Linked DNA regions of Callithrix jacchus. The protein of the gene in region 1 purifies or fractionates together with the protein of each later gene. This does not show direct contact. Links are inferred from orthologs where the notes say so. Each region holds a gene or a part of one and is shown on either strand. Other genes may lie near its edges.

Region 1 (3,518 bases):
TTCTGACCTTGTCTAAAATTAAATTATGACACCAAAAATAATTTCAAAGAGCTGTAATGCACATTCAAAATGACCCCTGGACAGGTCAGGTGACAGGGATAATTCTAGCCCTTTAAGAGGTCAATGGAGTTTGAGACAAGCTTGAGCTCAGGAGTTTGAGACAAGCTTGGGCAACACAGGGAGACCCTGTCTCTACCAAAAATAATTAGTTGAGCACAGTGGGACACACCCGTGGTCCCAGCTACTTGGGAGGCTGAGGTGGGAGGATCACTTGAGCCCAGGAGTTTGAGGCTGCAGTGAGCTGTAATCATGCCACTCCACTCTAGCCCATGTCAGTGAGACCTTCTCCCAAAAAAAAAAAAAAAAAAACCAACCAACAAAGTTACTCCTGTAACAGACCTTTTCACAAGATACATTTTGAAGAACTGAAATGTTTAAGGAGTAGAAAGACAGGATTTCTATTCATTTTTAAGGCAGACTTTCAAATGTTACTTATGACATGAAAATACTAACACATTATGATGCACCTGTTAAAATAAAGCTTATATCATCAGCTGAACCAATGATATAAAGAGTCCTGTCGGGGCATGGTAATGCCAGCACTTTGGGAGGCCGAGACAGGAGGATCGCTTGGGCCTGGGAGGTTGAGGCGACAGGAGGACATGATTGTGTGACTGCACTCCAGCCTGGGCAACGGAGTGAAACCGTGTCTCAAAAAAAAGTCCTAAATTCAAATTTCTCGCTGAACTTCCGACAGGAAAATATGCAAATTACCTGGAAAATCTGAAACATATATATATAAATAGCTGTTTAAGATGTGACACATATTTGCTGTCACTAGTATTTAAGAAATGTGAATAGAAGCAAGGTGCCATTTTTCAACTATCCAACTGGAAGAGGCTTTTGTTAAACTGCCATGCCCAATGCTGTCAAAGGGGATGGGCAACAGCCTCCTGCTAGTCAGCAAGGACGTAAATATGAACATGAAATAGCCACTAAAAAAGTGACTGTTTCATGGAAAAACGTTTATATTAAGGCAGATTACAAAGTAATATACTTCAATCCTGTTTTTATAAAAACTCACATATATACATAGATGCATATACTAAATTTTTAAAAGACTAAGAGGAAATACATAGAAATAAACAGAGAAGAGATTGAAATGAAATACATAGAAATACACAGAAAAAAAGGAATGTAAATATACCAGAATGTACAAATAGTTTTAAGTAGTGGAATTTGAAGTTAATTTGTTTTTCTTCTATGATTAATATCTATCATTTTTGTAATAAGGAGGGAAGACAACAATAAAAACTGTAATGATTTAAAAAAAAAATCACTGTTCTGTTCTAAGCCTGTTGAGGGACAAACATCTTGAGGGTCAGGAGCAAATTTCGGGGGTAGATGAGAGGCTACAATGAGCATAGGTCTGGCCCAGAAACCAAGAGTCCCAGGTTTTGGTTTCAGTTCAGTCACTCAGTGGGCCAAATCTTTCCCTTCTGTAGGACTGGGCGTACCAGGTTCAGGCCTAGGATGCCTGTTTATTTGACAGATATACAGAAACTGCTGAAGCCCTACTCCAGATCTTTTGAATCAAAATCTCCAGGGTTAAGGGTAAAGATACACCTGTATCTTCAGCCTCCTAGCCAGGCTTAGTTACTGCTGGACTGACACAAGAGATACTCCCTATTCTAAAACACCTCTGCTAATATCCTCCCCTTGGCCCACTCCCAAAGAGCCTTGTTCCTTCTCACCAAGCACATCCTGGGGGCTGCTGGGGAACTGCTTGTTGAGGACAGTCTCCAGGGCATAGCTCAGGTCCATGCTGTGCTTGGTTATCTCTGCTGGCGTGGCACCTGCTGGGAACATCTGTGTGGGCAGCTCGGAGAAACGGATCTCTGTCCCGGCTCTGGGCTTCATCTCAGGTAGCCGCGCCAGGCCCTCTTGGTAGCTTTTGCACTCAGTGCCCCAGCTAGGTAGATTGTGCCCCACCCGGTCCTTGGTGTGCTTCATCGAGAGCACAGGTAGCACATCAGAGAAGGCGCAGATCTGCCGGTTCTCAGGCTGTAGCTTCTCCATTGTAGCTTCGCTGATGAAGTTGGTGAGTGAGATCCACTTCTTCAGAGTGGCATATGGATAAGGCCCCAGGAACTGGTCCAGCTCCTGAAGGTTGGCCCTCATGGCTTCCACCTCAGACTCAGGGGCTGGGGACAGGTCTACCTCTTCCCTGACTGTGCTCCAGCGCAGCACTGTCAGCCCCCGCTGCTGCAGGCTAAGGAAGAAACCCATCCGAGGGCCTACTTCCTTGGGATTAGCCTTGTCCACAGAGCTATAGTGGAGGAAGTGAATGCCTGGAGGGATCATCTTCACACCCCGGAACTTGGGCCCCACCTCCCAGGAATTATAGTCAATCCCAAACTCTGTTCCTTTGGGCATGTTCAGGATGACCACAGTGGCCCCTTCAAAGAAGAGGCGCTTGGCTAGCTCAGGATCCATTTGCATGGCAGCCATGGGGCCAGTGGTGGGTGACCAAAAGAACTATTTTTCTTTAGTCTTCCAGAATAGCTAAGAAAGAAAGAAATCAGAGTTAATTAGATCGTGGGGAAAGATGCTTTATTTACTAAGCATTCTGTATGTGCCAGATATTCAATTAGACCCCTGACATAATTATTTTCCTTAATCCTCATGACAACCGTGCATTGAGTTTACAGATGAGGAAAATGAGAATTAAAAGAAACGATTTTTGGCTGGGTGTGGTGGCTCATGCCGATAATCCCAGCACTTTGGGAGGCTGAGACAGGCAGATAACAAGGTAAAGAGATTGAGACCATCCTGGCCAACTTGGTAAAACCCCATCTCTACTAAAAAATAATATAAAAACTAGCTGGGCGTGGTGGTGTGCGCCTGTAGTCCCAGCTACTAGGGAGGCTGAGGCAGGAGAATCACTTGAACCCAGGAGGCAGAGGTTGCAGTGAGCCAAGATGGCGCCCCTGCACTCCAGCCTGGTGACAGAACGAGACACCATCTTAAAAAAACAACAATAACAACAACAAAATCTGTGTTTTGGTTTAACATGCAAGGACACTCACTTCACAGCTATGATACCAGTGAAAGAAAAGTGACATGCTCATGGTCATACCAGGACCCAAATTAGAATCTGGGTACCTAGCCTGCAGGCCAGTGTTCTTCTGTCCACCATCCACTCTTAGTATCTTCTCAGGTCTCTTTCTCACAACAGAAGGTGAGAGTGGAAAATGCCTGGATGGCTCACTCTAAACTGTAACTATGCCTAATCATTTGAAGCTACAACTCTGCAGGAAACTATCCCAAAAATATTTGGAAAGATTAAATCAAGTACATACCCAGTTTCCCGTAAGCCTCAGGGACGGCCCAGAAACGGACAGAAGGTAACAAGTGGAGGCTCAGCATCTAAAATTTGTTCGAGGTCTAGAGAGCTTTTCAACCACAAATCTTCTCTTCTTTCACTCATAAAAAACCTAAACTCCAGGGAGTGAAAC
Region 2 (3,518 bases), about 56 Mb from region 1:
TTGCCTCTTTCCTTTTCTGGTATTATTTAATCTCACTGTCTTCAGGGCGTCTTTCCATGTGTCCTCCTGGAGCCCTGGCCCTCTCACATACCCACCAGCTGGTCTGGTGTTTCTCAGTGTTTGGAGATGTTTTGAAAGGCTCTCATGGTGCCCCTCTGTATAAGGGTACCTGGAGCAGTCTAAGTGAAGAACAGGGTGGTGCCGGGCGTGGGCTGAGGTCTCAGCCTGGATGAACTGCTGCCCTCTCCCCCTGGGCACAGTGGGTAGTGCCCTCCTGTTGCTCTGCCTTCTTCCTCAGCGCAGGCTCTTGGGGATGAGGGGAGGCAGCAGCTAGGGAGCTCATCCTCGGGGAGCACAGTTGCTTGGCCGGCCCTTCTCCAGACAGTGTGATTGTGTGTGCTTACTTTGTCTTGCTGTTGTGCTCACTGAGGCCCAAAGGGGTCATTGGTGCAAGATGATGTGACTGTGGGTGGTGGGCCACACGAGGGGCATCAGGCCTGATACCCAGGGCTGGTGGTTTTGCTCGATAATGACCTAAAATCACTTTCTTTCTATGAGATCATTCTTTCGGATGCCTGCAGAGTCCACCTGGGATCAAAATCTTTATCGGTGGGTCCGGGTGTGCTTGTGCTCTGTGGCTCAAGATGAAAAGCCTCCCCTGTCACAGATGGAACTTGCTGCTGCCTCCAGGACACATGGCTGTAAAAGGGTCTCTTGTGAAGTTCCTCTCTCCAGCTCTGCTATTTAAACAATGCATTGCTTTGTAGAACCCTTTTCAGTAGTTTATTTTAGAACCTTTATTGAGAGGAAAGATTTCCCCACACTCTCCCCATTGTAAAATCTGGTCAATCATTTATAGCATCGAACTTTGGAGCAGTAACTGTCTTTCTGGCGCCCACGCCATGGCTGAGTGTGATGTGTGTTCTGGTTTATGGCCCTGACTTTGGTGCCCGTGGCCTCTGTCTTGCAGGGAGTCCCTGGAAGCACTTCTGCAGAGGGCTGTGGCCCACTGCCCCAAAGCGGAGGTGCTGTGGCTCATGGGCGCCAAGTCCAAGTGGCTGGCGGGGGATGTGCCCGCAGCAAGGAGCATCCTGGCTCTGGCCTTCCAGGTGGGTGAGGGTTGCCTGAGCGGTGAGGGGCTTGTCCACACAGGAGCTGACCTGGGTGCCAGCTGGGGCCTGAAAGAATCCTCCATGCAAACGTGGCACGTGCTGTGGTTGGGATTCCCCGGAGTCCCCGCCAGGAGCCGGGCCGTGAAGGGGCCTGAGAGGAGCAGGAAGGCAGCCCAACTGGCAGGTACTTACCTCTTGGTCTCCCCACCCAGTGTGACCACGGGCTCAGTGTTTCAGAACATAGAGCCACGGGGTCACACAGGGCCTGAGGGCACCGTAACGTGAGTGGACGCATGCAGACAGCCTCACTGAGCCAGGCCTGAGGGTGCCTGCTTGCCATGAGGCGTGTGGGTTCTTTTTATGTACCTTGTTTCTATCGTCACGTATGATACCCTAATACCTTATGACGATACAGTGTTCGTCAGATGGTTTTAATACACAATAGAATGCTGCAAATGTCAGTTTGTTTACTGTGGCTCAGGCTAACATCATAGAGTGTGCCCTTCCCTGAGCAAACACCAAGTTGAACCTTTTGCTTTCGGCTGCCTCTCTGAGATGGCATCACTCTGTGAGTAACTGCAGCATCTGCTCTGTCTGCTTGCTGTCTGCTGCCTGTCAGGTGGCTTTCCTTGCCCGTCATTTTGGGGCTGCTTTTCAGGTCTGTGATGTGGTCATCTTGCATGGTCAGTGGGTGGCTATGCTGATTAGAGTTAGTCTGAGCACCAGCCCCGGGGAGGCTTTGAGGGCAGAGCCTGGGTGTCCACTGGACTCTGGGCTGTGTAAGCCTCCTCGGGCTGTGGGTGCCTTCTCCACGTCAGCGGCATACTCGGGGTTCTCTGTCCTGCCCACATGGACTCACAGGGACAGGACAGCTGGCTTCCTTTCACCAAGCTCAGGGGAAGGAGGGAGGTTGGGTGTGGTGGGTCTACCAGTATAAGATGTGAGTGACCCATTCGGGGGCTTTGAGAGGGTATGGGTGGATCCTGAATAAGATGGCCCTGCACCCACCCCTTTTATTGCTCGATTGAGTGCTTTGGAGGCCTCCCCACTGTACCAGAGTGAACATGGGCCTGTGTGTTCCAGGTGAGTCTGGATTCTTGGGCTGGAGTCTGCTCTGTCATCTCCTCCCTAGGAAAGGCTTGGACCAGACTCCTGCAGCAAAGCCAGGCCTGGCTGGGTCCCTCCTGCCTGCCTGCTTTTGATTAATGTGATTGAGCGCTGGTCCCTGTGTTCTGACCCCTCTTGACGTTGCTGTACTTGTCCTCCAGGCCAACCCCAACAGCGAGGAGATCTGGCTGGCGGCTGTGAAGCTGGAGTCTGAGAATGATGAGTACGAGCGGGCACGGAGGCTGCTGGCCAAGGCGCGGAGCAGTGCCCCCACTGCCCGGGTGCGCAGGGGCAGGCAGGGCTGGGCTGGGCATCGGGTGCGTTGTGCACTTGGGTGGTGGTGGGAGTCACATGACAGCAGGCAAACTAGGCCTCAGCACACGCTTATTTTTGTGATATGAATTTAAAACATGCATTTATCCCCAACATTTGTGTACACAAACGGGCTATGAAATCTTACAAAAGTACACACAGTACTGCAGGTAGCAGTGTTGAGGAGTGGAGGATGAGCGTAACGTGAAGCATGTGCCTTGGAGCCAATGTCCTACGTGACCATGCGTGTCTGCCCCACAGGTGTTCATGAAGTCTGTGAAGCTGGAGTGGGTGCAGGACAACATCAAGGCCGCACAGGACCTGTGTGAGGAGGCCCTGAGGCACTACGAGGACTTCCCCAAGCTGTGGATGATGAAGGGGCAGATCGAGGAGCAGAAGGAGCTGATGGAGAAGGCACGGGAAGCTTACAACCAGGGGGTACGTCTCTGCCTGCACCCGGGGCTGCCGCTGACCCAGCGCTCACAGAACTGAGCCCCCCGGTGCAGGGTCACGGCCTTTCACCTCCAAGGAGAAGTGGAGGGCTGGGGAGTTACAGCTGATGGAGCTTCGGACTCAGGACCCAAACCCTGGTCCCTTCACTGTCCTGTGCTTTTCCTTGTACAAAGCTGCGCACCTGCCCTCAGCAGTGCAGAGCGTGGCACGCCTGAAGTGTATATATACCTTTGTGCACAGGTACATAGCACCACTGCACACCTTTGAAGCCATAAATGCAGAGAGCATGGGGGTGTTTTTCCATGGACACAGGCTGCCCTGAGGCACTTGCTCAGCCACTACAGATGAGAAGCTGGGCGTGGCTATGTCCCAGTTCTTCATAGGCACCACCTGAGCTGCTCTCTTACTTGTTGGCTGCAGTTGAAGAAGTGTCCCCACTCCACAGCCCTGTGGCTGCTCCTCTCTCGGCTGGAGGAGAAGATTGGGCAGCTTACTCGAGCACGGGCCATTCTGGAAAAGTCTCGTCTGAAGAAC

What was found. The genes of interacting proteins can lie anywhere in the genome.
Region 2: the proteins of AAR2 (region 1) and PRPF6 purify together in Homo sapiens (affinity purification with mass spectrometry; 3 studies listed by BioGRID and IntAct, with this or other methods). This does not show direct contact. The link is inferred for Callithrix jacchus from reciprocal best matches to the Homo sapiens genes AAR2 and PRPF6.

What each region holds. Positions count from the first base shown.
Region 1 is NC_133506.1:3,054,873-3,058,390, forward strand, and holds part of AAR2 (protein AAR2 homolog), read right to left. Parts: intron 2,566-3,518; 5' UTR 2,512-2,565; coding exon 1,755-2,511; intron 1-1,754. UniProt on the Homo sapiens protein: Component of the U5 snRNP complex that is required for spliceosome assembly and for pre-mRNA splicing.
Region 2 is NC_133506.1:59,500,728-59,504,245, forward strand, and holds part of PRPF6 (pre-mRNA-processing factor 6), read left to right. Parts: intron 1-970; coding exon 971-1,109; intron 1,110-2,380; coding exon 2,381-2,500; intron 2,501-2,792; coding exon 2,793-2,969; intron 2,970-3,404; coding exon 3,405-3,518. UniProt on the Homo sapiens protein: Involved in pre-mRNA splicing as component of the U4/U6-U5 tri-snRNP complex, one of the building blocks of the spliceosome.